3 linked regions of the Struthio camelus genome follow. The protein of the gene in region 2 binds, or shares a complex with, the protein of the main gene of each other region. Links are inferred from orthologs where the notes say so. Each region holds a gene or a part of one and is shown on either strand. Other genes may lie near its edges.

The links.
Region 1: MED13 (region 2) and MED24 share a complex: the UniProt entries of both Homo sapiens proteins name them as parts of the mediator complex. The link is inferred for Struthio camelus from reciprocal best matches to the Homo sapiens genes MED13 and MED24.
Region 3: the proteins of MED13 (region 2) and CDK8 are in contact, whole or in part, in a cryo-EM structure (PDB 8TQC), measured with the Homo sapiens proteins. The link is inferred for Struthio camelus from reciprocal best matches to the Homo sapiens genes MED13 and CDK8. Residues at the interface, in NP_005112.2 of Homo sapiens: Thr1616, Met1617, Asp1618, Arg1619, Lys1621, Val1622, Gly1623, Ile1624, Pro1625, Thr1626, Asp1627, Gly1628, Asp1629, Ser1630, Val1732, Lys1733, Thr1734, Leu1735, Thr1736, Gly1737, Phe1738; in NP_001251.1 of Homo sapiens: Leu9, Glu12, Arg13, Arg71, Lys74, His75, Pro76, Leu81, Gln82, Lys83, Val84, Tyr133, Asp137, His140, Tyr141, Met330, Gln331, Phe335, Leu336, Leu340, Pro341, Thr342, Ser343, Asp344.

What each region holds. Positions count from the first base shown.
Region 1 is NC_090966.1:6,789,129-6,796,763, forward strand, and holds the start of MED24 (mediator of RNA polymerase II transcription subunit 24), read right to left. Parts: upstream 3,164-7,635; 5' UTR 3,103-3,163; exon of another isoform or gene 3,015-3,102; 5' UTR 3,013-3,014; coding exon 2,883-3,012; intron 589-2,882; coding exon 506-588; intron 1-505. UniProt on the Homo sapiens protein: Component of the Mediator complex, a coactivator involved in the regulated transcription of nearly all RNA polymerase II-dependent genes.
Region 2 is NC_090957.1:18,770,768-18,778,451, reverse strand, and holds the start of MED13 (mediator of RNA polymerase II transcription subunit 13), read right to left. Parts: upstream 3,322-7,684; 5' UTR 2,905-3,321; coding exon 2,839-2,904; intron 813-2,838; coding exon 578-812; intron 1-577. UniProt on the Homo sapiens protein: Component of the Mediator complex, a coactivator involved in the regulated transcription of nearly all RNA polymerase II-dependent genes.
Region 3 is NC_090942.1:201,383,707-201,391,133, forward strand, and holds the start of CDK8 (cyclin-dependent kinase 8), read right to left. Parts: upstream 3,433-7,427; 5' UTR 3,375-3,432; coding exon 3,247-3,374; intron 1-3,246.

The sequences.
Region 1 (7,635 bases), on a different chromosome or scaffold from region 2:
GGCAGAGCAGCGTGTTAGTAGGTGATGTTTGTAAGCGCGGCGCCCGTTGCTGGGGAACGGCAAGGTCAGGGCATGGCCTCGCTGCCTGCCACCGCGGATGGGGCTGGGGCACTGACCCGGCACAAATCCAAACAGACATTTTTAGGTGATCGCTGATTTGTTTCACACAAACTTTAAACAATATTAAATGCTACAGTCAGAAAGTGCATGGCTTATAGCAACTGCAGAGGCTCTCGGAAGGCAAGGACTTCTACCCTGTCTGTGCGCAGCTGGGCGGCGGACGTACGCTATTTACAGACAGATCTTTGCTTTGGGCATGTGCCGAGCAGAGCTCTCCGCCACCCGCCCCGGCCGAGGGGGAGGCGCAATGCCTTCAAGGCGCAGACGGGAGATTTGGGGTGTCTGCCCGACACCAATGCCACACCCCAGTTTCTTTGCCCGCCTGCTACTTGGGGCTGCAAGGCAACACCCAGCAGCGCCTGCAGCACACAAAGAGTGTTATTACCTGGGAACTGATAGCATATTTCAGGTAGGACAAGATGAGTGGGTTCGGTGACGGCCCGATCATAGCCTGTTCGAGAAGAGCCTCTGCAAGCAAAGGAGAGGGGCCAGGAGGTCCCAGGTCAGCAAATACATGACATGGGGAAACACACGCACCAACACACACACTCACGCATACGTCGTGCTCTCGTTCTCTGCCTCATCCCACAGGGAAGGTGACAAAAATAAACTGTGCTTATCACAAAGACTTTGCACAGACCTTCCCTGAAATTAACTGAATCCCATAACTTTATAATCCCAGCAGCAAAAGCCAGTAAATAATTTAGGAAGCACAAGCAGCCTCCTGCTGACTCAGCTCTCCCAGGGTCCCCAGGCCCCAAACAGCACCTGATGCTCTCCAAACACGTTCCCCTTCCTCCCACAGACTGCCCAGGAGGCTCTGGCATCCACCACTGAGTGACTTTTGCTCTGGCACCTGGGGCTGAACTCGAGGCAAAGAGCCCCTCTGCTGAGATCAGCTCTGCATGTCTGGCACTCCCTCCTGCTGGCTGCCTGCCAGCGCCGGCCTTCGGAAGCTGGAGGGGCTCCTGCCCGTCCTATCTGCTCAGTCAAGCCTTTAATTGACCATTTGAACTATGGCAGAGTGCAGGAACTACCTCGCAAAAGCAGGCCCCAGGCTGCGGCACGGGCTGCAAGTAGGTCAACGCACCCAGACGCGAGAGGGGAAGCAGCCGTCCCCCCCCAAAGAAAACCGTCTCCCCAAAGAAAACGAGGAGCGGCCACGGCTGTATCACAGCCGCAGAAGCAAAAGGCACCCGGCATCTCAAACGGGGGCTCGGACCACATGCAAAAGCATCGCGGCTCAGAGACAGAAGGCTGATGGCAACCTTCCCCCTTCCCACCCCCATCTAATCAGGGAGCGTCAACGCGAGCCAGCCACATGCTGTTACCCACTGCAGACGTGTCAGCATAGATTTGCTGGGCACCGCCGTGATTCTGGCGGCTCGTGCCAGATTCTCCTCCTTTGTAGTCTGAACCTGAAACGCACGAGCTTGGAAAGACTGCGCCAGGGCTGCGGTGAGAGGGGCTTAGAAAGAAAGCAGCGCTATGAACACAGCGGTTGTTACAGCCATCCCGGCCTTCAGGAACACCCTCCCTGCGCGCTCACAACCTGCTGGCCCTCACACAACACTCGCACTGCCCAGGAAGGCCCGGCAATGCCAACATCCCCTCACAAGCAGTTCCTGAAGCCAGACGGACCCAGTTTCCTCCGCCTCCTTGCGGAGCAGCTGCCCTCCAACGCAGGCTGGGCTAACGAGCCTTTCCTTCAGCTGCCGCACTAAGAGGTGGTCAGGAGAAACCTGTCTTCACAGAAATTGTAGGCGCGGATTATCTCTAACCCTTTGACCGGACTTTATTTGGCAGAAAGCAGCCACTCTGCTCCCAGGGATACGCAGGCAGGCCCACACCAAGTACCCCACAGGCCTTGCTGCCTCAGCAAACTGAGCTGGAGAGGACCCTGCCTGGGTGAGGCAGGCAAAGGGCTGCAGGGCTGGAAATCGACCCCGGGAAGCAGCTGGCCGGCAGCAGGGCCGGGCCTCGAACCACCTTCCTGAGCACCAGCTCACCCCGAACCTCCCTGCGCGTCCCGCAGCGCTGAGACGGCGGCACCCTGCTGCCGCGTCCACGCCGGCCGCCCCGAGCGAACCTATTTCCCCAGGGCTGCCCCACAGTCTCCTCGGCCACAGCCGGCCCCGCAGCTCCGGCACGACCGAGACAGGCGTCGCCGAGCTCCGGGAAGCCTGGGGACCCCGCGCTGCCCTTCACGGAGCCCCCGCGGGTGGGGGCCGAACCGGCTGCGGGGACGCGGTTTGAAGGAACCTGCCCTCCGGAGCTGGGGCTGGGCCAGAGGCTGCTGAAAGAAAGCGCGGGTAGGACAGAGCGAGGGAAAAAGGTCAGCTGGGAAAAGGTCCTCCCCGCTCAGCGCGGCCAGGAGCGGTTCACCGCCCGCCTCAGGGCCGTTTCCCTCCACGGCCGTCCTCGAGCGGCGCTTCGTGTTTGTTTATCCCGGCTTTGCAAACAGGCGCTTGCTGCACAGGGGACAAAAAAAACCCACCACCAACAAAACGCACACCCTAGCAACAGGTTTCTACAACTGGCATAAAAGCCTGGCAAATCTTTAAACCACGTAACTCAGCAGGTAGCAGCGTTTGGCAGGATTTGTGTCAAACGCCCTTGAATAGGGACAGGAAAAGAAATTCTAATTAAAGGGGGCAGTGGGGGGGGGGCACAGAGCGGCACCTGGGCCCCGACGGCGCCGTTACCCGCCCTGGGTGGGGGAAACTGAGGCAGCAGGAGGAGGAGGAGCCCCCCCCCCTCACCTGCCAGGTTGAGGATGTCCCAGGTGGCGCCGCGGGGGAAGAACCGCTTCATGTTGACGGCCCACTGGAAGTCGCTCCAGCGCTCCTTCCAGGCCTGCAGGATGGCCTGCTTCAGGTTCACCACCTTCATGGCTGCGGGGAGAGCGCGTCAGCCCGGCCCGGGATCGGGATCGGGATCGGGATCGCTGCCGGTGCCGGTACCGCTGCCGCCTCCGCTCACCGGCGCCCAACAAGGCCGCGGGGCCTCAGCGCCTGGGCACCGCCATGTTGGCACCCGGCAGGAAGCCGCGCGCTGATTGGTCGGCGCGGCGCGGGGCAGGCTGGGAGATGTAGTAAGAGGCGGTGGCGTCATGGAGGGGGGAGCGGCGCGCCAGCGCGCGTGCGGCCGCGCGTGGGTGCGAACACGTGCGCGCAGAGGGGCGCGCGGAAGGGCGGCCGGGCGGGGGCTTCCGCGCCGATGCACGCGTGCACACCGCCCGCGTGCAAGCAGGGTGGGGGGGGGCGGTGTGGAAACCCCCCGCGCGCGCGCGCGCACGCGCGCAGACAGGCGCCCGCGCGCAACACGCGCCCGCCGAGGGGGGGGAGTGCACGCGCGCGGACACGGGCGTGCAAAACACGCGCGGGAAAACGCCCCGGCGCGAGCTCGGCTTGGCAGAAACAGGCGGGCAAAATGCGGGGGCGCACCCACGCGCGAGCTCGCGCGCTCGTGCAGAGGTGTGTGGCCGTGCGCGCGCGCGGGCTGCCGCGCGCGCGCGCGTGGTGGGGGCAGGCGCGCGCGGCCGGGCGCGCGGGAGACGGGGAGGGGAATGCAGGCGCGAGCCCGCACGCGCGCGCGCGCGCAGAGCCGCCGCGCGTGGGCGGGGGCGCGCGCGGGCCTGGCCGCCGGGGCGTGCGCGGACACGCGTGTGCACGCGGCGGGGCTCTGCCGGCGGCGCGGCCCCGCGTGGTGCAGCAACACGCGGCTCCCCGGAGCCCCCTTCCCCTCCACCCGCGCGGGGCCGCGGCCCCGCGTGGCCACCCACGGGCTGCTCCACCCCCCACCCCCACGCCGCTGTCCAAGGTGCTGAAGGGCGCTGGGGCAACCACGGGGGGGCGCGGGCGGCCTTGGGGCAGCCCCGCGGGGGCGGATGGGACCCCACGGGTTGAGGGAGCACCCCACGGGTTGAGGGAGCACCCCACGGGAGAGGGAGCAGGTGGGAGCCCCACGATGTGGCAGCGCCCGCCCTGCCGCTCCCCCCCCCCCTGCTCCGGGGGTCTCCGAGGCCCCTTAATTCCCGTGTTAATCATTCATGGGGCCGGGGCGCGCGGGCGGCTGCAAATCCCCCTGCGCCGGAGCCGGGATTAGGCGCTGCCCCGGCGCCGCGGGCCCCCGGCAGCCGGGGGGGCCCCGGCCCCTATTCATGAGGACGGATTTCCTGTGCCGGGGGCGGGGGCGGCCGGGGGTGGGGGGGACAGTCCCCGGCAGCTGGCGAGGGGTAACCGGACACTGCGCGGCCGCGGGTCCGCGCCCCGGGCCCCGGCAGGGGGGAGCGGGGGCACGGCGAGGCCGAGATGAACCCCCCCCCCGCCCCCGGCAGCAAGACCCCCTCCCATCCCCAGGGGCCCCTCAGCCACCCCGAACCGTCCCGCTGGGCTCCAGGGGGCACCGAGAGCAGCGTGGGGTGGCGGGACGGGACGGCAGGGTGCGGGGGTCCCTGTCCGGCCCCCCCCCTCAACCGCCTGGGAACGGAGCCCCCCGCCCAGCGCGGGGGCGGCCGGCGCCCGGGAAGGCGCCGCGGCCTCGCCGAGCTCCCCGCACCGCGGCCCGCCTTGGCAGGGCGCCGCGGCCCAGCTGCCTCCAGCCCCCCGGCGCCGGGGGCTGCCGGAAGGGGCCGCGGCCGTTCCCAGCGCCCCGCAGCCGGGGGGGCCGCCCTGCCCGCCGGGGGAACCCAGGCGTCCGGGCCCCCCCCCCGGGATGCGCTCGTCCCTGCTCTGAGCGGGGGGCCAGACGGGGCCGGTTCCCACCCGCCTGTGTCTGCCTGTTGGTATTTTATTGGGTGTGAAAGATTTTATTCCCATGATGAGTTCCCGGCAGGAAGCCGGAGGTGGGGGGGGGGGGGGGCCAGGCTGGAGATGGGCGACGCTCCCGCCGGAGCCCCCGGCACCCCAGCCTGCGTCCGTCCCCGGTGGCCCAAGCTCGGTTCCCGCGGGCCAGCCGGGTCCCGGGCCGCTTTCCCGCGCTGTCCACGGAGCGTCGCCCCCTTCCTGGGCGCCGGCGGCGGCCCCGGGGCGACGCTGGGCAGCCCGGAGGGCGGCAGGGCCCCGGTGGGGTCACCCGCAGGCTCGGCGGCACCCGCGGCGCGTTGCCCCAGCTCCGTGGCCGCGCTGCCAGGCCCCGGCTATATATAGCCGCTTCGCGCCGCAGAGCAGCGGGATGAATTTTAATGAGCTCGTTCCGGCCGATCGCATCTCGCCAGGAGCGAGACGCGGCCTCACCGCGTCCCTCCGGCTCCGGGCCGGCCGCGGGCGCTCGGATCGAGCCCGCCATGCCCGGCACCCGCGCCGAGCATCCGCGCGTGGGTCTCAGCCCGCAGGACGCCGGGGTCCGCTGCCAGCGCTGGGGCAAACGGCAGCCTCCTGCCCTGCCTCAGTTTCCCCCTCAGTGCGGGCAGCCCCAGGGTGCCGGGGGTCTCGGCGGCGCCGGGGCCAGCTGGGCCGCGGGGGGACCCGGGGACACGGCGTTTTGCTGAGGTTGCCGTGCCGTGCCGGCCCCGGGGGGCAGGATGAACTCAGCCCTGGCTGCGTCCTTATCGCAGGCAGACGGCGCGTGCGGCGGGGAAGGGCAGCCGCCGCCGCCGCCGCGTGTTTGCAGAGGATAAAGTGTACAGTACAGCGAGGGCAGGGGGCCGGGGCCGGGGCCGGGGCCGGGGCGGGCGCGCAGCCGCCCCTTCCCCCTGCCACGCTGGCTCCGCGCGGCCGCCGCGAGCCGCCGGCTGGGGGTGGGGCCGCGGGCGCCGGCGGGAGCCGACGAGCCCGGGGGTGCCGGGCACCCGCCACCGGCTGGGGCCGAGCACCCGGCACGGGGTGGAAGGTGGGTCTGCCCTGGGCACCATCGTGCCCTGGGTACCACCGTGCCCAGGGTGCCACCATGCCGCAGGTACCGCCACGCTCTGGTTGTCACTATGCTCCGGGTACCGCTATGCCCCGGCATCGCCATGCCCTGCGCGCTACCATGTCCTGGTTATCCCCATCCCCTGGGTACCGCCATCCCTTGGGTACCACCGTCCCCCGGGTATTCTTGTGCCCCGGATACCGCTGCCCCCTGCGTACCCCCATCCCTTGGGTACTGCCACTCCCTGGGTAGCACCGTCCCCTGGGCACCAGCATCCCTTGGGTACCACCATCCCTTGGGCGCTGCCGTTCCCTGGGTAGCACCCCAATACCACCGTCCCATGGGAACCACGATGCTCTGGGTATCCCTGTACACTCGATACCCCCCCCCGGGTACCCTCATTCCCTGGGCACACCCATCCCATGGGTACTGCCATCCCCTAGGTGCCACCATCCCGTGGGTACCCTCGTCCCCTGCGTGCCCCCATCTCCTGGGTACACCCGTCCCACGGCAACCACCGTGCTGCCTTGGCAAGCCGTGAAGGCGTGGGCCACAGTGCTGGGAGGTGCTGAGGGGTGGGAGCGGGCAAGCAGAGACCCCCCCCCGGCACCTCGGGGAGATCCCGGGGGTCCATCCCGGACCGCGGCCCCCGAGCATCCCTGCCAGGGCGGCCGCAGCTCCCGCCCGCGGGAAGGGGGCGCTGGCCCTTTAAGAGCCGGGCATGATGGGAGTTGTAGTCCGGGGGGGCGAGCGCAAGGCCTGCTGGGAAGGAGGTGGGGTGGGAAAGGCAGGCTGGGGGGCTGCTAAGGGGCAGCCCCCTATTGCACCCCAGGGCTCCCCCCAGCCCCGGCCCCCCGGTGTCCAAGTGCGCCCACCATCCCCGGCCCCACGGCCGCGTCCCCGCCCCACGGCACGGTCTCTCTCCCCTGGCAGACCCGGGTGCCGGTGGGTGCCGGTGCAGGGGGCCTGTCCGTGCCGGGTGTGGGACGTGCCTCGGTGGGCACCCAGGGGTGCACGGCCGGGCGCTGGCCCTGCTTCGCTCGCCCGAGTTCCCGGGGGTCCTGGCACCCCCTTGAGCGTGGAGCGGCGTGTCCCGCTGGGGCCGGCCCGGGGGCAGCGCAGGGCCTGGCCCCGGCTCCCCCACGCATCGCAGACGTCGCCGCCCCGCTGGCTTCCTGCGGGCTCTGTCCCCATCCCCTCTGGGCACTGACCCAACCACCCTGGAGCATCACCCCCCTCCTCCATGGGCACCATCCCTGTCCCTCCATGGGCACCGTGGGGGCCGTGGGCACCATCCCCAGCCTGCCTTGGGGACTGACCCAACCACCCTGGAGCATCACCCCCCTCCTCCATGGGCACCATCCCTGTCCCTCCATGGGCACCGTCCTCCTCCTCCATGGGCACCATCCATGTCCCTCCATGGGCACCGTCCTCCTCCTCCATGGGCACCATCCTCCTCCTGCATGGGCACCATCCCTGTCCCTCCATGAGCATCATCCCCCTCCATGGGCACCATCCCTATCCCTCCATGGGCATTGTCCTCATCCTGCCGTGGGCACCATCCCTGTCCTTCCATGGGCACCATCCCCATCCCACCGTGGGCACTGTCCCCATCCCGCCATGGGCACCGTCCCCAGCCCACCATGGGCACCGTCCCTGTTC
Region 2 (7,684 bases):
CAGATGCCTTTTAAGACTCATTGCTGCTGATTTGACTTCCAATCAAGAAAACTCCATATGGTCCACAAGTTCTCAGATCACTACTTTTCTTTTTTTTTTTTTTTTGACATAATAATAAAATGGAGTTTAGTATGTGAACTTGGAAATGCGAATTGCCCAACAAAAGAGATCTTATCAAAACATATTTAAGACATCAGACCCCCCCACTTTTGATTCACAAGCAAAGCTCAGGGCATATCTTTTCTGAGAAAGTCAAAGTCAAAATTCTTAGGCTTACTTGATTTCTCAAAAGAAACACAGTAAATAAGTGGGGGGCACAAAATTGCTCCTTGAATATCTAGCAGCCAAAGACCACCTAAACAGATACCAACTGTTTGACTAGCGCACTGCCATAATTTGGCTTTTCTGAGAGCCCTATCCACTATCACCACAAACTCAAAAGTCACAGACTTGTAGTAATAAAACTATAGACAATAAATAGTCCACCTAGTATAGATTTTGTAAAGACTGGCAGGAGACAGCCCTGAGTAACAGTATCCTTCCACCAGTCAACAGAAGGTATTTTAATTAAACCTACCTGAAAGATCATGATGAATAAGATCAGCAAAGTTGGGATCATCACCCCACCAAAATATCCATAGCTCCCTGCGTCCAGGTCTTTGGTCTCGACGCCAAACACCAAGTACATCCGCCTTCAGACAGCGACTGAAGCTGCTCAAAATAGGGTCCTCTTCCGTGACCGGAAAGAGAATTGGGGCAGATGTTGGACCCTGCCATACATATCGCTTCCATTTAATCCCAGTTAGATCAGCCTAAGGGAAGGAAAAGAACAATTATCAGACACTGGAAGGGGGACAAGGAGGAAAACCAAAGTCGAGAAGTAATTCCAAGTCTCTTGGAAGGGAACTGGAAACGGTCAGCTTTTTGTAACTGAAACACCCTGCTATACCAAGATGGTGACACAGAAAGAGGAGGGTGGGAGGAACAAGGAAGGATTATATCAGCAAAACTTAAGATAAACTATACTTACAAGATACATTATAAAATAAGGTGCCTGTTTATTTTCAATCTCTTTAAATAACTGCAGTAAAGCAAGAGTGGTTAATTTTCACTGCAGCATTAAGATTGCAGAGGGAAAAGTAAGATTTAATTTTAAATAAAAAACTGAAAAAGTGCATGACATTAGTAAATTGTACAGTTATAGTCTGCAAATAATTACATTAAACATTTACCTTAGCAAAGATCTTCAAGCTTTATTTATGCATACACTACCTTTTAAATTCAATATTTCTCTAAGGAAATAGATAATACAGTACATCTAGCTTAAGCATACATTCTTCCAGTAATCTAGCATTTGGGAAAATTTCACAAGCTTATCCATTTTAAAATATTCTCTCCCTCACACAGGAAGCCTTTCGAGTGCACTCTCGTGCTTTTCATTTCTCACACTACATTTTAAGAATTTTAAATCCTGTTTCTATCCTGAAAATTACATATCTGATTTAAGTCCACACTGGTTAAGATGCACTAAATCCCCTTCCAGACAAAGATCCACATTACTTTACAAAGTAAAAGAGTTGCAATTATTATACCTAATAGGAAAGAGACAATTCCTGAATAATCTACAAAGCAACACTGTACCAAGTTTTAAGGCTACCAAAGTTCCCCCCCCCCCCCACTTGAGAACAGTCACCTTAAGGCACTTTGGAAGCATTGCCCATGGGATCTATTTGAGAAGGGAGAAGGAAGGTTAGATGGCACACTTGCCAAGAACTAATTTTTTCTTCCTAATGTGACAACACACAAGATTACTGCAACATTTAAACCTAACATGGCAGCCTTCCTACCTTCAGTAAGGAGCAATTTAGATGAAAGGTAGGGAGTTTGCAACAGTTGATACCTTAGAAAGACTAAGATTTAAAAACATACTACTGATATGGAGCTGCAGGCCTGATGCAATCTGAAGGCACGTTCAGGTTGTCCAGATTCCCCTCCCTCCAAAAATACCAGCACAACAGCTTGGCACAGGTTTTTACTTATAACAATCTCTAGAATAATAAATACCAGGCAGTCATCTAAAATTAGCTAATATGCCTGAGAAAGCAGATGAAACAGGTCATCACAACCACCAAGAATTGCATCATGGTCCAGTTAAATCAAATCGGGAACTGCCTAAAATCAAGAATTTAAACAATTTCATACTTAGGTTTAAAAAAAAAAAAAAACACACTACAAAATGGTGCACAATAAAACAGAAGATATCACTACTTCATACAGAGTGCATCACTAAAAACAGATCTCCAGAATAATTAAAACAAAAATAAACGAAAAGCAATAAAAGAAACCATTTAGGAAGCAAAGGGGGAGGTCTCAGCTCTGAATTTGTTCGGGATGTCACGGGGGCGGGAGGAGGGGGGGAGAAAGTTCACTAGAGGAAGAAGATGTGGGGCAGGGAGAAAAGGAGCAGGAGATCCCCCTACCTCCTGCTGGAAACACCACATTCAGTAGCAGAGATAAGGTTAAAGAGAAAGCAGAAAAAGTTGTAGGCAAGGAAACAGCAGGAAAAGGCAAGTTGTAGGGAGAATATCGAGAGAAAAAGGAGGGAGGGGCAACATTAGATAGACAGCAGCGGCGGGGGGGGGGGGGGAGGGAGGGAAGCAGAGGGGCACCGGAGAGTTGGCTGGCTCCAGGCAGGGCCTACTCTGAGGACTCATCCAACAGAAGCTATGCTAAAAATGGCTGCTTTGCTGCCACTACCCCTTCCTCCCCTCCCCCCGAAAGCTTCTCCCTCGCCCCCTCCGCGCCCGCGGTGCGTGTGCGCCGGCGGCGGGCACTCACCAGGCAGAAGAGGTTGGAATGGCAATCCTCCAGGCTGGCCCCGTTCGGCACGAAGCAGGAACTCATCCTCACAGCCACAACCCACACGCCATTATCCCACAGCCTCCGACAAGAAAGAAAGAGACAGACAGAGAGAGAGAGAGCGAGAGAGAGAGAGAGAGAGAGGGAGAGACAGACACTGCGAGGGAAAGGGGGGAGGGGGGGGACTAGGCACACGCACAAATAATAATACAATTAAATAAGGGATTTACATACGCACATACACACAAAATAGTGGCAGGATAAATAATCCAGGAGGAGAGTGGTATAAGACAGGGCTTTTAAAAATAACAATTAAAAAAAAAAAAAAGAGAGAGAAACTCAGAACGTTTTCTCTTCTTCTGGATATCAAAGAGGGGGGGTAAAGCCACCATGGAAGGGGAGAGCAGAAAGAGGGAGGTGGTAAGTAATCCAACGACAGGAGATTAAGATCAAAATCCTCCCTGTTCCTCTTGTCTTCTCATTCGCGTAAGGAGGGGAGGGAGCGGAGGTAAGGTGAAGGGGGTAATTGATCCAACAAGAGGATAAAAAGGGGGTAATTAATCCAGGGGGCTAGGGGTAAAAATCAGCTGACATCCCTCCTTCCTCTTATCTCAGAGGCCAAGCAAGAGAAGTAGGAAAAAATAAATAATCCGATGGGGGCAATTAATCCAGAAACCTCCCTCCTGCTTCTTTAGTCATCAGATGGGAAAGGGGCAAATCGTGGAATGACTGGGAAGGACTGGTGGTGGGAGAGAGCAAAATCCAGGCTCGTCTCTTCGGAGTCCGAGGGCAACAGGGTAGGGGGCGGGGGGGGGGGAGAATCAGATTCTTCTTCCCTGCTCCAAATATATTCCAAATAAATTAAAAATTAAAATCATAAAAAACAAACTTTAGGGCCAGAAGCAAGGCAAGCCTGAAGAATTCGTAAAGGCAGGAGAAGGAAATTTCCTGGGGTGCACCCCGAAAACCATCTGCGGGGGCAGGGGAGGGGGGAAGGTATTCCTTGAGAGAGGAGAGGCCGCAAAAAGTCTCCTCGGCAGCCCAGCAAGGGATTAAATTCCCTTGCGGAAACCCCCCCTCCCCAAAAAGAAATACTCTTCGCTGAGAGGGTGAGACCAAAATATCCTCCGCTGGCGGCGGCGGGGGGGGGGGGATCCTTCCGTGGGGGGAAAGGAGGGAGGGGAAGGGGAGGGGGTCGGAAGGAGGAAACTGTGGGTGACCCTCGAAGTCTCTTCGGGGAAGGACGGAGGCGTCTGGCGGCGGAGGCCGAGCCCCAGTCTTTTCGGAGGAGGAGGAGGAAGGGGCAAATCCCAGAGCGTCTTCGGGGAGGCTCGTCTCCCCCCCCCCCCCCAAAAAAAAAAAAAAAAAAAAAAAAAAGCTGTCCTCCGGGGCCGCGGGAGCCCCGCGAAGTCCACACGGCTGGGCGGGTCTCTTCAGGGGAGCCCGCACCCCGCCAAGCGCCCGCCGAGAGCAGGAGGCGGGGGGGCCCCCTCCACCGCGACAAGCCCCGCAAGACCCCCGAGAGCTGGAAGGGGGGGGGGGGAGGAGAAGCAGCCTAGTTGCGAGGCTGGACCCTTTAAAAAATTAAAGGAAAAAAAAAACAAGCAAAAAAAATAAAAAAAAAGGAGAGAAATATAAAATATCAGTCTTCAGGCGGGGCGGTCTCTTCGGCGGGGGGAGGGGAGCGAGCCCCGGCCCCCCCCCGCTGGCCCCAGGTGAGGGGGCTCCGCGAGGGCCGCGGGAAGGCTCGGCGCTGCCCCGCCGCGGCGGCCCGGCGGGGGCAGTGGGCGGAGGGCCCCCTGCCCGAGGTCTCCTCGGGAGGGCGGGGAGGCGGCGGCGGCGGCCGAGCCCCGGGCTCTCCTCAGCCGGAAGGGCCGCGGGGGAAAGGGGTCGGAGCCCCGCAAATCCCGGCCCCGCTGCTGCCGCCGCCGGGCGCCGACACCGAGGGGACGCGGCGGCCGCTGCTGCTGCTGCTGGCGGAGTCGGTGCCCCGAAGCCCCCGCTGGCGGGTCTCCTCCTCCTCCTCGCTCGCTCTCTCTCAGCGGTGCCTCTGTCGGCGGCTGCCCGGCCGCGGCATCCTGGTCAGCCGGCTGCCCCTCAGCGCGTCTCCCCCATGTCGCGTCGCGGCCGCCGCGGGGAGGGGGAGGAGGGGGGCTTCTTCTCCCGTTTAATTCCGAGCCCCTTTTTCTTTAATGGCGGCCACAGGGACGAGAGTCGGGGCCCCCCTGCCGCGCTCCCATTGGTCGCCACGCCGTCACGTGGGCCTGCCCAGCGATGGCCGCCGTCGCTGCCGGGCGAAGGCGGCTGCAGCGGCGGAGCCCGGCCGGCAGCCGCGGAGGCGGCGCTAGAGAGCGCGGCGCTTTGCTCGTTGAGAGGCCGCCATCTAGCGGCCGCCGCCGGGCGTGGCGCCGCGGGCTGAGCCGCGCGTTTGGGCGCAGCGGGAGTTGCGGCGCCCGCGGGTTCGAGGCCCGCCTTCCCGCGAGGCCCGCAGCGGGCGCGGCCCTGCGCCGCTCGCGGCTCCCCCGCCGGGGCGCCCGGGCAGCGGCTCCCGGCAGCGCCGCGGCCCGTCGGGGGGCCCGTACGGCGCTTTACCGAGGTGTTTCTCAAGCATCCGCTCGCAGCTGGCCCGCCTCGGGCCAAAGTCCGAGCACAGGCTGCTTCACCTACCTATGAGCGCGGAAAGTCTTATCTTGGCTCGCTCTCTACACGTTTCAGCTCTTGGCAGAGACGGGCGCTCAATACCACGTTGGCACCGGGCACTGGGGAGCGCGAAGCCTTTTTAAAGAGCTACGCAAGCATTAAGAACAGGAGCTTATGTTTTCAGGAGTGCCACAGACATCGGATCTGCTGCCGCAGCAAAACCGTACTCCAAAATTCAAGTTTTCATGTACGGATGTAGATCGTGTAACTCGTGAGGAAGAAGTAGGTGGTACCTCTGTTACTACGTGTACAGATTTGCAGAAGGACTTAGAGAGTATTCAGAATTAAGATGCTACAGTGACAAAGTGAAAGCTATTTTTAGGAAATATTTTGAAAGTATACTCATCTTGTTAATACTCCCATGTTACATATTAATTTTCTATTGCACTAAATGCAATATCTTGCATGTAGAATGTAAAATTTAACATTATATTTAGAATGTTTGGTTTGCAAAATTAAGTGGAAATATAAACCACTGTAAAGTATCTAAAGTAAAAAAAAATATATAAACCACTGAAGCGTCTACAGTAAAAGAAAGACACATTACTCAGCTAACATGACATTCACATTAAAATATGATATGTTCTTGCAAGAGCAGCACATTGCATCACAACTATGCAACATGATGATGTTTCAAAGGCCCTACAAATTATTTCGGGACTCACGAACAAGACGAGTGGCAACCTTCGGCAAACGTCTTGATAGAGTGGGAGGAAAGAAGGACGCTCTATAAATAAATCTATCTGATAAGTAGAAACAATAAGGAGGATAGATATTTTCGCTAAGACAAAACTTTGAAGATTTACTCACACCAAGACTATTTTTGTATGTCAGTGTAGGCAAGCAAAATTTTGCTTCTTATCTAAATAGAACGGGAGTATTTTTAACACAGGAGATTCATTCCCTCACTGCTCATCTAAATACAGCAGCTGGGGATGAAGCAGGGATGTGGGGGGAGGGCAGTGTGCAACCCCAGCCCCTTTCCAAGTAGAACAGATGGTTTTCTCCATGGTGACTGGAGATGAGGACCATGCGAGGAGGATTTGCTCTGCAGCAGCGTTTGAACCTACTTCTCCATGCTGCCGTGGGCAGAGATGCACACAAAAGACCTCCAAAGTTTCCGTGCTCCACTTTGGTCATTAGAGTGGTTGTCTTACTGCACAGAGAGAGAGTTCCCTGGCAACGTTTTTAAGTCACACCTCCCTAAGGAGAAATCCAACACTTCGAAGGAAATAAAAGAAAGCAGCACTTGGCATTAATACACAAGAACCGTTATGGTCTTCCTCTGACAGAGAAAGTATCCTTTGGTAAAACTGGGATTTGGTGGAGGGAATGGAAATCCAGTAAGATGCCTCACTGTGGGCTAGCCTCATAACAAATGTAAACTTGCATTTCTCCACTGAATTCAGGATAACACCAAATTGTCACTAGCTGAGAATCTATTTATTTTCCCTGAAATAATACAGTTCAATGTCCGGATCAGAGGATTAATCTAGCATCTAACATTGGTTTTGGCACTGATTCACTTCCTAGTTTTGAGGAACTCGGTTTCTGTATCTCAGTTTACTTATTTGTAAAACGCATTTTGAGACCCAGTTCATTAGTTCTTACATATTAATAGTAGTAAGTACTTACATAGGACCAAGGGACAGTCAAGAGCAGAACATCATTTTTCCAAAACCTTATTACAGGAGGAAGAATCAAGAAAATATTGACAAAAGAGGAAACAAAGCTAGTACATCAACTAGAATTTGTTTTTCAAATCATTCTCTTCTTGTGTCGTACCTGAAATACAGAACCTTCAGGTCATCAACTTTCCTCATTACACGAACAGTACTAAATAACATTAAGACACACTGGATAATAGTTATATCCGTGTGTGACAAATTTTGGATCTTGTGACATAGCTTGCCTTTGGTTACTGCAGGTGCTATTTGGGAAATAAAGTCTCCTTAAAAAAGAGGGAGGAGGCAGATAAAAAAATATTGTGAAAAAATGTCATTGAAAATACACTTTCTATTTTCTACATACGTTCTTATACAGTTCTCATCACTGCAACTTCCAGAAGTGCAGTAAGCTGCATAATTAGCATCTGTCACATGCAGCCTTTTCCATCTCGCTTCCT
Region 3 (7,427 bases), on a different chromosome or scaffold from region 2:
AGGAAGGAAAACTAGGACTATGGTCTTTTTTGATCATAAAGACTACAAACTTAAAAATAAAGTAAATAAGAACTTCAGAACCAAATACAGTTTTTCTACAGTCAACACACCATGTGGAGCTCAGCTGTAACAACTGACGTTGCTGAACACTGGATCAGCTGAATAACAGGTTCAGGTTTTGGCAGTGAACATACAAGAAACTGCATCTGGTGACCCCATCTCAACAAACCCAAAGCCTCACTTTGTGGCAAAGGGCACCACATGGCTGGGTTGGCTCTTTCATAAAGTGGGTCATAAAAACCACAGTATGCTCTTGTCAGGTCACTAAAGAGCATATGGTCTATTTCTCTCTTTAGGATTCTCACTACACCGAGATTACTGTAAGACTGTCTCCCAAAATATCCCCATGTAGTTTCAGCTGGATACATTGCCTTTAAGTCTCCTCCAACAGTTCCGACATGAAGCTGCTATCTAGTTTTGTACTGTCACATTTCACCTCAGAGGCAACTGTAAAAGCAACCAGGAAAAAAAGAAGTGAAGTCTGTTGTCATACTAAAAACACTAACTCTTACTACTGTTAAACTGGATTTTCATCATCAAGAGCTTCCAAATATATATTTGCACACACTGACTTATTATTTCTCCTCAGTGTTTGTTCTGTTCATTAGAAATCTGTACGCAAAAAGTGTTGTCATTTTAAAAGAGCTCCAATATTTTCAATAAAACGTTCACAGTCCTGTAACACACATTCTTCAAAGTCCTTTGAAAACTGAGGGATATGAATAGGCTTAAAGGGGCTTTTGTTATTTAAAGTAACAATCAAAAGTATATAATGAAGTTTAAAGTACATGTATATGTTTAAGGAAAAAAGTTTGAAAACTTAAAGAGAGCAAAACGGTAACTTCACATGTACTTATGCAGCTCAAACTTTCTTTACTACAAGTGACTTACTCAAGACGGTTACTCATCCACCAATATCTACTATTTGGGGGATAACGAAATAGTATTATTTGGCATATAAGAACATGAAAAAGTTGAACTCTATCTTTCATAAGCTTATCACTGTAAGACACAATGTCCATTCATCCATCATCATAGTTACAGAAAATGAGTAATTACATGTTTGCTTTCACAACTTGATTCCTTTTGATAAAGGTCTCTAAACAGAACCTTTAACTTCAATCTGAAATCCATCCGTATAATTTAAGATCATGTATCTGCAAGTACACTAGAAACTACAAAATCATCCAGAGACACTGATATCTTACATATCTGAGTGACGGTTTAAGGGCAATTACATAGCATATTTCATACAGAAAGCTTTCAGAACCTGGAAGGCAAATAAGAGACAACAGAGGAAGGGAAAAAGAAGGAGCCACTAAGTGAACAACATGGCAAAAAAGTAGACAATGTATTTCACTCATCAGTTTTCTGACAGAGCCTAATCAAATATCATACCTTGATTTTTTTCCGCAGAAAAGATAGGACTGATTTAAAGATTTAAATCATACACTCTGAATAACTGAGAGAAAAATCTACGCTAAAGACCCCATTTGGTCTTTAGCTATCCATTTTTAAAAACACAGTTATATTTTGCTGAAATTACTCAAAATAACACTAGCACCAGTAGCTCTAGACACTCTGTCCCAAATATCATCAAGCAGACTGATAATTTGACTAAAAATGTTTGAATAATGCTTCACCAGTATCAAATTCTGAATTCCCTATATACTGCTGCAGTCCAGCATGCTTAACGGCTGCAAAGAGTTTGACGTAAATTGGAGACTTAGTTAATATCTTTCAATACCTCACCTATTCTCATATTAGAGGTCTCCTTATCTTTACCGAAACTAGAGTTGGTTGTAACAGCAAAGTACCTGCACGTAAGGAGACTTGAGGCTACAGCCTCTCAAACTCAAAAAAAAAAAAAAAAAAAAAAAAACATTGAGACAATGTAAGAACTATTCTTCTGAACAGTACAGGTTTGAAGGATCCAACTTAAAATTTGAAAAAAAAAAGTGAGCTGACTCATAGCCGTGAACAAGATTCACACAGAAATAGCTGTGCTACTATTAATATGAGCATGTTTAAGGCACATTAGACAAAATAAGGCGTAACCAATCCCATTACAAAATCATTCCGTAGGTTCGTTGAGCATTTCTAGAATTATAACATGTAAAAAGAACCAGATCATATTTCAGTCATAAGTGACAAAGGCCTTTTTAAAGGTGCTTTATTTATCAAATGTAAAAAGAATACCCAGAGCTTTAAAATACACATTATAGCAATTGGAACACACAAAGCACTACTGTGATGAGACTGCAGCAAAAATAACGTGTAATTTAAAATTTAGGATCTATTACAAGAACAAGCTCTGCCCCCCCTATTTCTTCTGCTCCCTGTTTCCTATTGTTCTGTTGTTGAAAAAGTGGTGCCATGTCATGGATTAGCGAACCCACAGTTAGCTGTATTTGCTCTTTTAAACATTTGTGCCAGGAAATTTTACTCAAGTCTGTACAAAGAACTAGTCACAAACATAGATCTTTCAAAATATTTTTAAGCCCTGAAAGGTCCAGCAGACTTCAGCTCCAGGAGCAGCCAGGAAGAACACCCAAAATGGTGACTACAAGTAATAAATCAGACAAAAAAAAAAGCACTATGGAAAAAATAAAATCCTGTTCTACAGGGCAGATGGTGAACATTTGAGGTGGCTACTTGTTTATTCAAAGTGGAAATTGGTTAAGCGTTTTCCTAAACTAGATCTTTCTCTTTTTTTCCTCCAAAAGCTATCAGTAGGAAAACAAGACTCCAGCATTACACTGAAGGGATAGGAACGGTCAGACTAAAGCACGCTCCGGGTGACGTACGAGACAGCAAGCACAGGCGAGCCGAGCAGCGGGTTTTAACAGCGCACCAGAGGAAGACGCGCCAGCGAGAGAGAAGCTAAGAGAGGGCAAGAGGAAAGGCGGCATGAACGGCCGGGCGGGGGGCCCGTGCACGGACACGCCGGGCACCGAGACACCGAGGGGCAGTGCAGCAAGGCCCCAGGGCTGCGGCGCCGGGCGCGGCGGGGACCGGCGGCGGCCCAGGAGGTGCCGGGGAGAGGAGGAAGCGGTGGGCGCGGGAGCCCCGGCGGCAGGGCGGGGAAGATGGAGGAGGCGCGGGCAGGGCGAGAGGGGCCGGGGGGGGAAGGGGGGAGGGTGGCGGCGGCGGCCCGCCACGGGGGGAGCCGCGCTCCTCACTCACCCGTCCTTCCGCTTGGCTTTGTAGACGTGCCCGTAGGTGCCCCTGCCCACCTTGCAGCCCTCGTACTCGAAGAGGTCCTCCACCCGCTCGCGCTCCCCGGTCAGCTTCACCTTGAAGTCATAGTCCATCTTCAGCGCCCGCCGCGCCGCGCCGAGCCGCCCCGCGCCGCCCCCCGACCGCCGCGCTCCCCGCCGCGCCCCGCCCCGCCGCGCCCCGGCAGCAGCAGCAGCAGCAGCAGGAGGCCGCCGAGCCGCCCCGCGGACCATCCAGGGGCAGGCGGGCGGGCGGCGGGGCTGCTCCCTCCCCTCCCGAGCCCCGTCCTCCGCCGCCCCTCCCCGCCTCGGCCAGGCAGCGGCACGACAGCCGGTCACCCGGGCGGAATACGGCGGCCGCGCCTGACCGCACTGCCGCAAAGAAGCGTCGCAAAGCCCAGACGCCTCCCCGGCACCGGGTGCGGCGGGCAGCGCACCACGTGGACCGCGGCCGGCTGCGACCTCCGCCGGCAGCCCCGCCCCCCACCGCCCGGCCCGGCATGCTTTGCGGCAAGGGGCGGCCAGATGCACCCTGGAAGATGTAGTACAGAGGAGGGGGAGGCGGGAGGGAGCGCCCACACTGCCTGCCGGGAGCTGTAGTCTTGGCCGGGAGGGGCATGCTGGGAGGTGTAGTCTTCAGCCGGCAAGGCGGCGCGCTGCCTCCTGGGAGCTGTAGTCCCTGGGTGCTTTGCGGGGCGGCGGTGCAGGGCGGGGCGGGGGGCAGAGGGGGCAGGCGGGCCGCGCCGCCGGCCGCACGGCCCGCTACGGGAGGCGGCGGCGGCGGCGCGGCTCCGGCCGCACGGCCCGCTACGGGAGGCGGCGGCGGCGGCGGCGGCGCGGCTCCGGCCGCACGGCCCGCTACGGGAGGCGGCGGCGGCGGCGCGGCTCCGGCCGCGGGGTCTCCAGGCGCAGGCGCAGCACTGGGCGTTGCGAACTTGCGGCCACTGGTGGCGTCAGCAGGCTGTCGGCGTGGCGTCATGAGGAGGCAGCGCGCGTTGTCCTCGCGGCGTGCCGTGCCCCGGGCGCGGGGGGCGTTGCGGTGCCCAGCTTGCTCCAGGCGGATGGTGCCGGATGGTCCTTGCCTGCCGCGGCTGCCAAGTCGTGTTTTAACGCTGTTCTGCTCAGTAAGCTCGCGCGAGTTGGGGTGCGGCGAACCCTCTGCCTGGGAGCGCAGCGGCACGCCGGCCTCCCGCCGCCTGCCGCGCCCTGCGGAAGCAGCACCTTTCGCAAAGCCCTTGCGCCCTCCCGGGAAGCCGTCGCCCTCTGATTCCTCTCCGTCCTTGGCACAGCTTCAGTTACTAAACCCAACGCAAGGCCAGGGAGACGGCTTTTGCAGTAGGGACTGTGTAACTGAACTAAAAGTGCAGGAGTCTCTTTAAGTACAGCCCAGCTTTTGGCATTTTTAGCAATTGCGCGTAAATGCAGCACATTGCATCTCAAGAATGCAGTGCTGGTTAGTGGGCGCTCACATCCCTCCACGAGAGACAAAATATTGCACAGTTTGGGGGATTCTAATCGAAAAATTATATTTTCTGGTACTTTCTGAATGTTTTTCCATTTTAATTTACACATTAAGCTTGATTCCTGAAAATTGGGCATAGGGATGTGTCAGCCCTACTGACATTACTCAAATAATTACTGATGTCAGAGGCCCACAGTTTGACCTTCGGTATGTAGCTGTTAGGGACGTAACTTTTGTTAGATAAAGCACAATTACGCAGATGTTATGAAAAAAAACCCACATGTAATTAGTAGAAATACCAGAATAAAATTTATGCAAGAACATTTGCCTGGCAACTCGCTACACCAATCAACAAGAAACAGCTTGCAGTGGTCTGCCAACCAGCAAAGATGAAACAGTCTGGAAGATGCTCTCCACCTGTTAAAACTCATCCACCTCAGTCTGCAGGAGAGCGGCATGACAATACCTTCAGGGACACCTGACCGTGGAGAACCTCCCGGGGCACCTGGGACCAGGCTTGCAGAGCTGGAGCCACCGCTCTCAGCGCTCTGCTCCTCCTGACAACTCTCACTCCTGTCAGCAAGGAGAAAGGAAGTAGAGATAATCCCTTTGCTGTAACTTTGTAGTGTTCTTTGCATTATTCATCACTCTTTCACACAGGCAATAAATATCCAAACTCCTTCACACCAATCCAATTATTGCACAGTAATGAATGCATGCACTTAGTCTATCCCCATCTAAACCATGACAGGGTGTGGAGGAGAATCAATGTCTGCTTAGAAAGAAAAGACAGCATGAATACAAACGGGGATATAGAATCCAGACTCGTTTTCTGAGGACCTGTGATACTTTTTACATGTTTACACTAAACCATTTGGAAAGAATTCCATACTTTGCCAAACAAACTCAGAAGACAAAACCACAATAAAAATAACTTTTTTTCTCTTTTAGGTTTTGATCCTTTCGTAAGAGTGTTTAGAAGTCTGCCTCCCTGCAAATGTTTCTTTCATTAGCCTTTCCTAACATTTGGTTTGTATGTCATTTAGAAGTAGCGTAACTAAAGTTTTCTGCTTCTTCGCTTTGTTTTTACTTCAGATGCTTTTATTGTGGGTAACATCTAGTTTTACCAATTCAAATGGATGAGTACCAAGTCCTAAGAGACTTGGAAAAGCAAGAACATCTTGATCTTTTTAATGGTAAGACATTAATACTGACGTTTCAGGACCAACTTTCAATTTTATTTCATGGAAAAAATGCATACTTCTCTGTGATTTGTTTTAAAAAATCTGTCAAAGTACAACAGCATAATATCAAGAAAAGTTTCATTTTTTGCTCCGTTCTTAAAAAGAAAGAGATGACCAGGCCATGATCTGCTATTCTTGACTCTCAGGTCCCCACAATGGGTCTTTAAATTGGCAAGAAGTGCTTTTCATGATAGATTTTCTTATTTCATACAAACATTTTTTTCATCTCTCCTTTCCTGCTGTCTCAGAAATCAATTTAAAAAGCTGTAAATGTATGCTTAACATGCCCTGCTGAATTCATTTAACCAGAGCTTTCCCCTTTTCCTCTATCTTTCACGCTATCCTTTACAAGATCTTCCTATTCCAACTTTGTGTTGTATCTAGTTTCCTGCACGCAAACACTTTTGACGTTTTTTTGTCTGAAACCACTACACCTGAAGAAAATCAGTTCTCCATAGAAAAGTAACTGTCATTGTGTTAGCATTGAGAAAGCATAGTGGGTTGGAGATGGTTATCCAAGTGAGCAGTATCAGCTCAAAGAGGAAAGTAGTCACGAAGGTTCACTTCATTAAATGTCTCTGAATGTAGGGAATTGTATTTCGCAGTGAAAGAGCTGAATTGTCTGGGAACTGGCAGGACTGTAGTAATAAGCAGATGTTGACTGTTGAGGTAAGGCACCAGATAAAGAGGGTTCTGTACCCGAGCTGGAGCAGCAGCCCTGCAGATTCTGAAAGCAAAGCTGGTTTTGTTGTGAGCATGTTGGCATGCTAATGTCCACAGTGTAGGTGGAAGAATCAGAATCTGCGAAGCAAAGCTTGTAGCTGGGGAATATACAAAAAACTACGTAATCTACTACTACTACAAAAGGCTACTTAATTTGCAGTCTTTGTAAACAGAGGGGGAAAATATAACAGCATATATCTTTTTTTGCTTTCTCATCCTTGTATTTTTAAATGGATTCCTACAACAACCACATGTCCCCATGCCATTAGAATGCCCCTAGAATGTCATCTCCACTCCATTCACTCATTTGCCAAATTTAAACATGCAGATTATGCTTTTCAGAGACCAGCTACTCTTCATTTAAAAGTAGCTACCTGCTAACGGTTTCACACTGAAGCCAAAGGGATATTCTTTAGCAGTTTGACTAAAAATTATTCCCAGCTTGATACTCAATGAGAAAGGGCCAGCCCTGCTAAGTACTGTACATCTTCCACTTCTGCTTAGATTAGTGAAAGCTGAAGGCAACAGAATATTAGGGGCTGGAGGGTTCTTTTCTGTTTGTAAAGAAAAACAAATGTTGTGATACTTACACAGACTGATCATTTTCTAGAAACGTTGCAGCTGTTAATGTGCAGATGAGTTAGCTGAATACTGGCTGTATTTAAGAAAGTAGTTTATTTAAAGCTGAAGTGTTGATTGTACAAATAGTTTTGTATGTAA